2 linked regions of the Drosophila melanogaster genome follow. Changing the gene in region 1 together with any one later gene gives a genetic interaction. Each region holds a gene or a part of one and is shown on either strand. Other genes may lie near its edges.

Region 1 (3,661 bases):
CAGCAACGATAAACCCACTCGACGCCGGGGGACATTGGATAATGTCAATGGCCGGGGATCCGAGGTGGGACCGAGCAGTTCCACGATATGTTTAATGGCAGTAGGAATGGAAAAAGTTTTACGTATAGCAAAGCAATTCAATTGAAAATAATTAGAAACGTAGCCACATGGCGAAACTTCTTAATTACCCGGCTATTGTGCGTCTACACTGAAATAAATATCTACTGAATGACTTAGTTAGTGGCGTAAATTAGGATTATTTTACTTTTTAAATTATATGCAAAAGCGAATATAAAAAAATATTTTTGTAAAATATAATAAATAACTTTTGACACTTTAATCCTGTTGTATATAACCATAAATTTCTCTGAGTGCATTCGACAGTGGTGGCACGATGGTTTCAATGAGAATTAAAAGAGTGCAAAGAACAGAAAATTGCATTATGCATAAGTCGCTAGAGCTTAAGCCATTATCGAATCCCTCCACGTATCCAAACATGGACAAATAAAGATACAGAGAATGCCACTAAGAGAGGGAGTGAGAGCGAGAGTCCAAAGCAATCCAAGAGATACGATTCGAATAAGAGATAGAGCGCTACTTGGCTATTGGAGCCGTATAAAACAAGTGTGTCCATATTATGCCCCATCATTGGAACATTGGAACTCCTCGGCTTGATCATGTACCTACGTCAACAACTCTGGGTTCTCTTGCTCTGGCTCTGCTTCGTCGTTCTCAGCGGTGAGTGGTGTTCTAATATCTATATCTATTATCTATATTTTTATAAACCCACATTTGTCATTTGTGAAGTGCATGGCATGCCGTGGAAATGGGGACCTGCCTCCAATTCTGGACCCCATGGCGGACCCGCCTGGAATGGCGGAGAAGAGTCCACCGACAATATAGTCATCCATTCGAAAAACAGCGGCAAGTGGCGTTACTAAATTTATCCAAGTGGCAGAGGCGTGACCACAACCAAGTCAAGCTGGATTTTACAGTAAATTTGTGAATAATTTTACAACTACTTTGCTTCGCAATTGATTTTCGTCGAACAGTACTCGATTTGTATGCTAATACTTCATTCATGGTCACACTCACTTATATATAGTCACTTTAATTGTGCACCTTTTTATCTATGACATTTAAATATAACCCTTTACTATACTGTATGTAATAGAGCCAAAATATTTAAACGAGATTAAAAGCCTAATATTGCAAATATGAATATGAAGATACAGTTTATACGGCTTTTGAAATTGTTTCCTGAATCTAACTAATATTGCAATCGAATGAACAAACCGAAATAATCTACGAAATTATAAGCTATTGATTGATATTGATTTTATTGATAAGTATGCAAACGAGCTTATGGGAATTTTTCAATTCTGATCGTCATAACAATATCAGCACGTGTTTTATAATAATTTTTTCAGAATGTTGCAAATCGCAGCGCACCCAACTTTTCAGTTTCTATGGCATATCTGCGTACTTTTGGCCTGGCTAAAAAGCGTTCTTGATTTGACACAGTTCCCCCCACTCTCTCGATCCGTCTAAATCGAGAGTGAATTGGCAAGCCGGTGACGAAGTGCCTCTGTCGCTCAACCGCAAGTAAACAAAACAAACCCGTCGGTGGCAATTCCCGGTAGACTGCACCGCTGACCTCCTCCGTCTTATCTGTTATTGCGCGAGAGTCACTGTCACTGAGAACCGATCTCATAGAGTATATAGAACGAATACGGCGCGATGAGCCGATATTTTTATGGGATAGTATAAATAGCTGGCATCGCACTTGGCATTGGCATAGTCAATGCAAAATGGGCTCGAACACTGGAGCTTGGATTCTACTGGGCCTGCTGGCCGGCATCGCCTCTCTGTCTAGCGGTGAATATATAGATATACTTTGTATGTGCAGATAGAAAAAAAATAAATTGTATTTTTATAGCTGCGAATATACAGCGAAATGAGGACCAGACGATTCTTCAGAACAATGGAAACACCTTCCTATCAAACGGAGCCGGGCAAATCATTCGTGGACCCGATGGCAAAACAGTATTGATCGGATCCGATGGGCGCAGGATCATCACGGATGCCGACTCCAGCGAAGAGGACAGCTCGCACGATTATGGTCACGGTGGGAGCTATAACAATGTTATCATCAATGGTGGCTCGGGATCCAGCGTAATTCATGGCGATGGACATAGCTTCATTGTTGGAGATGCGAGTCATGGAAGTTACATGAACAGCAATGGACGCAGTATTAGGATCATAAATGGTGCCATCGAACTCAATGATCACGGCCAGGTGTACACATTCAGGCCAAAAGCAGCAGGCATTAACGAAAAGGAAACCGTCACCATCAACGGACAACCGGCTCAGGTGGAGTACTCCAATGGTGATATAGTCATCGAACTGGCCGATCATACGGTGATTGCCAAGATAGGTGGACGCACATTTCTGGGCGATCGCGAATCCTTCGACAATCGGGATAAATTAGAGGCGGAGGCAAAGAACTATGCCGATCGTATCCAGCAAGAGGTGCACGCCAATCTCCAGAAAACCATGGCTGATATTCAAAGGGATCTTCAGAATTCCCTGGGAAATATTTTCTATTAGAAGCCAAGTAATCAATCGTACACGAGTCGCTCGAAATAAAGCGCCTTTGCAGCAATTGTCTTGACTTTAATTGTCTTATCTATGGTTTACAAGCTAAGATGTTCTAAAAGATACATATCTAGTGTGTAATCCAAGTACAACAGACCCCAGACATGAGGCGTCTTTGGGCATAATCTTCCCATTTGACCGGCCTGAGGCCACAAACGTGTGGGTGGTTAGGTCAATTAATGGGAAATGACGCCCGGCAAATGTGATTGATTAGCGGGAAACTCACCGTATAGGCAGCTTATGGGGCGGCTAAATCTAATGCTTAGTATCGCCTAACAGACTAGGTTTGTATGGGCGTGTGGCGATTGGAATACAATTACCGAGCTTGCGGCGGTGTTTATGAACACTTCTTGGTATTTAAATGACGGAATTTCCCAACGAATCTTCGTAAATAAGACCAAGGTCTCTTATTCTTTATATTTGTGTTTTCCAAGCTAACTTAATAAATTCTTAATTAATGGCCTTGATCTTTTGTCAGCCACAAATTGTCTAATTGCATTGCTGTATACATTTGCTTGTTTATGAAAAATGCTTTTAATTGAATTAGGGTGGGTCGAACGAAATTTCTGCTTATTTTGTATTTCTAAATCGAGATTTGAAATTAAATTTCCATCGATGTTAAATCTTAAATTTCTATATCAGGTTGACAGTTATATATTTAATAAACTGCTACAAATTTGTTAAGTGAGAATGCTATAGTCGACTTGGGCAAATCGATAGAAATTTACAAGACAAATAAAAATATATAAAAAGTTTTAGTTTTGGGCGGCTTGTCGGCGTAAGAGGGATCGTTCAGAATGTGTAAGGTTGATCTAGAGCTTGATTTGCAACCCATAGTCAGTACAAACCAAGTATCTTATCTGTGTCCTTGTTGTCCATTTCGAAGATTGATTCGCTGCCATTTCCCATTTTCAAATTCAATGTCAATTCTGTTAATATGAGCGGAATGAACGCAGTGGATGGATATGTGGGGTGAACTTTTTATCTTAATGACTTTATTTAT
Region 2 (7,733 bases), about 11 Mb from region 1:
AGCTCAATAAATTGTAAACTTAAACATTTAATCTACTTAGAGCGGGTCGTTGTTAAATGCAATGCAAGTACATCTGGGACAAAGAATCACACACCTCATTCAGATTTGTAAGATACGCATTTTGGCCCAGAAAGCCATTCGAATTTGACCACAAATACACACAGGCTAAAACAGAGGCTAAAATAATCAAATTTGTCGCCAGGCAGTCACAAAGGATATTTAGTATATACAATCAAACAACAATATACTTAGTAATTGCATTTAACACATGGGGCAGAGCATATCCACTAGGTTTGCAAAATTGATTTAACTGCATGCTTAAACTAACGAAAGTAAAAAGGAGATTAACTGAATGAAGGAGGTAGGGGAGACCTAATTAAAAGAACACAACTAATGTCTATATTTATGGCTAGCTAAGTGTAAAAATGTAAGCTGAATTATTATACAAACAACTACAATCGAAGCAAGTAAATTGATGTAATTGAAATACTCGAAACGTTCTAGGGCGAAATACCAATGAATATTGAATAATGACACAGGTTAAACACAAACACGCAGCAAGCATAAATTAATGAATAACGAAATTATTTCTCGAGAAAAAAATCAAACTTTTTAGCCTTTGAACGAGAGACTTTTGGTGCCCAATCCAGTTTGAGCAATTATTTACAAGTGAAAAATGAACGAAATACAAAGAAAGACACACAAACCACACCACACACAGGCAGATGTATTGTAAATAGAGCCACAAACAAACCAAATGAGTAAATACCAAGTAGGTACATTAATAACTAATGATGGGGCTTATCCGAGTAAATCAACATTAAATAAATTAACAACGGAATTCAAACAAAAGCAGGTAACTTCAACTTCAACTTGTGTGCAAGGCATCAACTTTTACTGTTAATTGTTGCTGGCAATGCAAAACGCAACGCCGACCGAAAAACGAAAACTACAAAAATAAACCATGAAAAAGCAAAACAAATATATTTAAAATACATTTGAACGCCTTCAGCGTTTTATTCATCAAGCAAAGCAAGAAATGTTGAATCGAAAGAAAAAGTCAAACAAAGCCATAAAAGCGATAAATCAATTTGTGTCACCTGTGTAGTAAGTATATCTCAGTATTTGTAACTGAAAATGAAAAGCGTTGAGGTGCAGGCATCAACCACACAAAGAACAAACAAAATCAAATGAAAATAAACTGAATTTACAAGTGCTCTCTGACTATTATTTACGAGAGTGTGGTCCTTGGTTGGCATGTTCATTTCCCCACATTATCGTCTCAAATCAGTTGATTTCGGGGAAGCAATATTTCTCGGTAAAATGAGTAAGTATGTCTTGGACAGGTCGAAATGTAAAATATTCCTTTTTGAGGCACCATTAAAGGTACCATTCTCTGCATAACTGAAAGGAGTTAGATTGCCTACATCAGCCGGTCGAATAGGAGAGTGCGTTTTTACTCACTTTACTACTCTTCTTGCTTTTGCACTAGCAAGAAATCATTATCAATTATGCTTATGAATAATTAGGAATCCTACGGCAAGAACCAACGTTCCTAAATTATATTTAACCAACCGGAAATTAAGTCAACCACTCTTAGAGCGCCATCTGGTGAATGCTTTTGGAACCTATTAAAGTGTGGCCCGCGCACCAAAAATACCGCAACCGATAACTGGCCCCGATAAAGTACCAAACCTCGCCGATGACTGGCCACCCGAAAAGCTGTGACTCGCCAAGCTTTTGCCCATCGATCGCCACGAGCTTATCGGAATCGCGATCTGATCTGAAAAGTGGGAACGCAGCGCAGATAAATTAATTAGCAATTAGCCAGTGCAAACAGAGTGTTGTCAGCCGACTAGAAAAAGCAGCTGAGCTGATAGTTCCGCCTGTGGCCCCCGCGCTTTCGCCCTGCATCGGAACGAAACCAAAATAAACAAGCGAGTGAAAGGCGGTGGAGAAAGAGCGCGGGAGAGTGAGCGCGAAGAGTAGTCCGTTGGGGAGGAGGCGGAGGAGGAGCGGACAACGAGGCAGAAACAAAAGCACAAACGGCGGACAGAACCAGTCGAAACAAAACAACAAACCGGAGCGGACGCACTCGAAAAAAGCGAAACGAATTTATTTCTGTGCTTAGGGCGACACTGTGTGCGTGCGCCACTGATTGTGAGTGTGTGTGTTGTGTATATTTAAACAATATTCAAAAAATCATACGCCAGACGAATAAAAAACGCGACGAAAACGAAGGCGAAGATCTCCATCTCCTCTCGCAGCGGAGCAGACAGATAAATAAAAACAGAATCCGAGACAGCAACAACAACGCGACTGTGACGCGGCAAGGTGCTGGAGGTCACTCGGTCCATTTCGCACCGCACTGAAGTATAGAAGTTTAGCAGTAAAGCACCACCCCCTTCTAACCAGTTTCAGCTTCATCCGCCCGCAAAAAACAAAAAAAAAACAAGCACGCGCGATCGGAAAACTCGAAAAAATCTACAGAGCAGCACAACTCACGCGCTTCATCGTTTTATTGCTCGCCGCCCTCTCGACTGATAAACGTCAGTTGATAAATATATATCGCATCACATCGCATCCACACTAAAACAAATACGCCAGCAAACAAACACCAATTATTCCAATAAAGCCAGCGCCAAGTGCGAATGCGCCCTCGATTTGTATGCCATCAGCAGCACTCGGTGGCCCATTCCCACTACCAGCCCCACTCCCACTTCCATCACCATACCCACCGCCATCCCAATCCGCCCCATCACCATCACATTTACGGCGCCACTGACGTCAGTTATCGGCGTTATCGCACCGCTGGCATGGTGGTGGCCGAGGGAGTTATGGACTCCGGGTCGGGATCGGGCACGGGAACGGGCTTGGGGCACTTCAACGAGACCCCATTATCCGCACTGGGCATCGAGACCCGCACCCAGCTGTCCCGCATGCTGAACCGCAAGAAGGTGCTGCGATCCGAGGAGGGCTACCAGCGGGACTGGCGCGGCATCTCGGAGCTGGCCAAGCAGAAGGGATTCGTCGACGAGAACGCCAACAATCCCATGGATCTGGTGCTGATCAGCTGGAGCCAGCGGAGTCCCCAGACCGCCAAGGTGGGCCATCTGGAACACTTCCTGGGCATTATCGATCGGTGGGACGTCTGCGACGATATCCAGGAGAATCTGGGTAGGCATTAACTATTTTTTACTTATGGTAGTCGCTATCTATCTATAACTAAACTATGTCACTTGAGTTTTGAGTATCATTTGTTTTAGATTAGCTTTTAAATGATGGTCTGACGATTCGACTTTTACTTCAAAATGCCATCGTGACAGTGAAAATTTAGTTAAACGTCTAGACTAACTATGTATGTTTGACTGTTCTCGAGTTTGCGAAGTTGAAGAGGAATTTTAAATAATGTACTTATCAAATGATATGTACACAAATGTTGGAAATCGGAAAATGAACCATTAAATTTTACTTTAATGGCGAGCCACACTTATCAATTATTTTTGGCTGATCCATTTTTGGTTTTATGACCGGAAAAGCCGTTTCGAGTTTATAAAAATGGACGTGGTAATCTATATAATATAGGGAGTATATGCAGAAAGCGTACATATTTAACTTATCTATCGCACATTTATCTAAGTCAAACAAAGCTTATCGTCGGATACATAAAACTATTGAGTTATGATGAGTAGATACGTAATGACAGAAATAAAAGTCACCCACTTTCCCATGATTAATTTGTGTTTATTTCTATTTATTGTCAAATAAAACGCTTCGACTTACAAGATTTTTATTACCACATCCCGACAAATTGAAAAACACACAGCCATAAAGAAAAAATTCAAAACAATAATTTCTAAAAGCCGCAAACAACAGAACTTAAACTATAGAAAATGCCAATCAGTTAAGAACGAAATTTTCTTATTTATTTGCACAATGGGGATTCACCCAGCAAAAACTGTTGTCATTAATAAAAAACCTCGAACAGTCAATTTTGTTTAGGAGCAGATGTTGTATAGATATATTCGTTGTGACCAAAATGGTTCGATTTAAAAACAAATGAACGCACTCGGAAGTTGAATGCTTAAGGTATAAAAAAGCACACATAATTAAAATCGTATTAGGAATTTTTCAAAGGAAATGTTTGAATTCCTTTTCTAATGATCTTTCATTGGGTGTTTTAGAAATATTCCAATAAAACTAAAAATAACTAAAAAAGTAAATTTTTTATAAATGTGTCGTTGATGATAACTGCTTGAATCTAGAATTCACTACCTCTTACTAGAATGATCTTTTCTGCTGACAATATATTTGGAATAAAAAGATGGGGAGACAATGGCAGACATCTGAATGGATATATGCATACACTTATCTATTCATACATAATATTGAGTTACAAATCATAAATACTACCAATTTGTTATGAAAGCTTCATATATTAGCGACTGTGTGCAGAAACTCAGATAAACTTCACTATGCCATTCCTTTAAGCTCATTATATATCAACAAAGGGTTATATTTATTATTTAATAAACATAATTTAAGTAATTTGATTTTGACATTAACATGTATAAATTGTGTTGTTTACTTTACGAATGATGTGTTAAGAAAACTTTTTGTGCGGCCTTGTAGTTTTTAGCAATCATAATCCCTTTAGTAAAACTGTTTTAATTTTGCTCTCCTCAAAAGCCAAGGACACCCAGCGCTTCATCATGAAACAGGAGCAGCGACAGACTGCTCTCGTGGAGGCGTGTCCGCCGCCCCCCAGCGACTGCTTCGAGACCAACAACAACTACAGCAGCAGCAACAACATCACAGTGGGCCAAAGTGTGCAGATCCTCAGCGACGAGGACCAGAGATGTGTACAGATGGGCCAACCGCTGCCCAGATACAACGCATGTGTTCTGTACGCGGAGGCAGACATCGATCATGCCACCGAGATCATGAATAATCTAGAGTCTGAGCGATACAATCTCAGGGTGAGTGGGATGCGCTCGGTTGCTGTGTGTTGTATTAAATAACCATGGGATCGTTCTATTGCAGCTATTCCTGCGCCACCGCGACATGCTAATGGGCGTTCCGTTCGAGCATGTCCAGCTATCCCATTTCATGGCCACCCGCTGCAATCACCTGATCGTCGTGCTCACAGAGGAGTTTCTTCGGAGTCCGGAGAACACGTACCTCGTGAACTTCACCCAAAAGATCCAGATTGGTGAGTAGCTGATACGCATTTGTATCGCAGAGCCAGAGTCGCATTACAAGTTCAACGATCTGACTTTCCCCAGAGAATCACACTCGCAAGATCATACCGATTCTGTACAAAACGGACATGCACATACCCCAGACCCTGGGCATTTACACGCACATCAAGTACGCCGGGGACTCCAAGTTGTTCAACTTCTGGGACAAGTTGGCTCGTTCCCTACACGATCTGGATGCCTTTTCGATCTACTCCACGCGCCAGGTGCAGACGTAAGTGTTGCTACTTCCTGCGATATATGTATATGTATGTGTTCCAAAAATACTTGATACATTTTTAGGGGTATAAAATCTCAAGATAATGTAGATTGCTAGCCAACAGATAAATGAGGTTTGCAAACTGAATACGAATACATGAAGTAGTCTAGTCATCCCAATTTAAGAAGCTGTTTTAGAATACATTTTATTAGCTTAAGTTTTTGATTTTACTGTTCAATTATTGCTACTGCTGGTTGTAGGGGCTGCGAAATCGTTTCACAACATTCACATAAAATGTGCAAATGTATACCAACTGCTTGTAAACAAAATATATAAGCAAATATCACATGGCGTACGAGCGATCAACCTTAGAACAGCCTAGCAGGTATTTTTATTTAGTTTTGCTAAATTCAAAGAAGATACGTTTGTTTCAGAAAGATGAACTCATACGACTTTTAAAGTGCCCAGGAAGTAATACACTGCATATGAGTAATCAAATTTGAAACAAATTTATAAACAGGAAATAAATGTATTATATATCTGGGCGTAAGATTATATTGAAGCGAAATTAGTTTTGCTGTTAATTGTAAAACATGTTGGAATTTTATCACTCATATCATAAATTTGGCATTCTCTAAAATTTCTTTATGCAGTCCCTCGCCGGTGGAGGAATCGGCTCCCCGGGTGACCACTCCCAGCATTCGGATTCAGATCAACGACAAGGATGTCACTGATATGCCAAACTACAACAGCTGCAAAGTGCCGGAGGCGGAGACCACAATCGTTTCGGTTTCCGGTGACACCGGCTCACCCCTGCCGGAGCACAAGCCGAAGAAAAAGGATCGCTTCCTGCGCAGAATCACGCACAGCTTTGGAAAGACGGCGCGGAGCGATGGGGCCAGCGGCAAGACTCTGCGTCATGCCCACTCCGTCAGCACCATAAATGTCACGGAACGCGAGAGGACACTCAGTGCCAGCAGCTCCAACATCTCCACCACGTCGGAGAGCAAGAAGAGCTTCATCAAGTGGCAGCCGAACATCCTGAAGAAGGCCCTATTCTCGCGATCCAGCAGCAAGCTGCAGACGCCGGGCTGAGATCATAGTGTTAGGATAGCCATTCATTCGATTTCTCGATTCTTTGATTCCTTGTCGTGTGCCCAGTCTAGTTGTGGCCGCCCAGTCACCAATGTCGTCACCCTCCATGCCTAGTGATAATCTTTAGCCTAATCCTTATCAAGTCAACTAACTTAATATACTTAGACGCACTTGTTAACTTATATAAGACAACAACGAATAAAGACAATACCACATATCCGCACAAATGTATCACAAAAGCACACAGACTACCAAATACGACACGATATTGCTATATGCTCTATGTATATGACTCTGGACTTGATAAACAGACAAATTGGCAATTGCGTTGAGTGAGGTTAAATACGCGACACTGCTAATCGAAGTGCTCAATTAACTGTTAGTCACGCGTTCGATAAGTGACTTACTTAATTTAATTATCTCGCGCGCCGTTCTCGCAACTCAGACCCCATCTGAGAATGAGTAATGAGCATATATAACGCATACGTACATATGGCTGCATTGTGCGAGCAGTGCTTTATCATTTTGTAAACTGCTCAAGCCGTTTTAGACGATTGCTAGCAATAAGTAAACTGTTTGTTCTCGGTACCGCCATCGGCTGGTTGCCTCATGTGATTAGCTCTAGCCTAGCTGTTACCGATTGTTACTGATTGCTGTGAATGCGTGCCCATATGCCTGATGTGCACCTAAGCACACTCACTTGTTATAAAGCAAAGACTATCAATACGTCATCCATCATCACATCGTCTCTTTCAATGTATCTAGAGTCTATATAGTATTATATGTATCTCCGGACAGTGCGTTTCAAAACCATATAGAGTCGATCGACAACCATATATTATGTCCAACTTTTGTCAAGCGACAACGAATGTGGATAAAACGCAATATACATATGTTCCTCAATGTCGGGCATCGAACGCTCGAACTTCGACCTTCGCGACACGTGGCACTTGGCGGTCATGGTTATGAAACGCACTGTATCCATATCGGAAATAAGCTAGCTCCAGTTGAGCGGCAATAAACTGTTCAATGTTTGGCTCAATAATTTATTGTTGAATGTAGACAACCTTTAGTTCGTTCATGTTTAATAAACATTGCAGTTGATGTGTGAATCCCCGTATATGTATTTACATACAGTTGTTCGCGTACATATTGAGTGGAAATGTTTATCGACCAGTTCC

The links. Genes that interact genetically often act in the same process or in processes that back each other up.
Region 2: of Bbd (region 1) and Myd88, changing one suppresses a phenotype caused by changing the other (phenotypic suppression), as found in Drosophila melanogaster (one study listed by BioGRID).

What each region holds. Positions count from the first base shown.
Region 1 is NT_033778.4:20,532,715-20,536,375, forward strand, and holds Bbd (bombardier), read left to right. Parts: upstream 1-1,530; 5' UTR 1,531-1,811; coding exon 1,812-1,878; intron 1,879-1,939; coding exon 1,940-2,610; 3' UTR 2,611-3,121; downstream 3,122-3,661. Other genes in the region: CG30154 (uncharacterized protein), read left to right, coding at 678-738, 808-941.
Region 2 is NT_033778.4:9,302,713-9,310,445, reverse strand, and holds Myd88 (Myd88), read left to right. Parts: upstream 1-1,723; 5' UTR 1,724-2,651; coding exon 2,652-3,177; intron 3,178-4,689; coding exon 4,690-4,979; intron 4,980-5,043; coding exon 5,044-5,212; intron 5,213-5,285; coding exon 5,286-5,472; intron 5,473-6,110; coding exon 6,111-6,552; 3' UTR 6,553-7,623; downstream 7,624-7,733.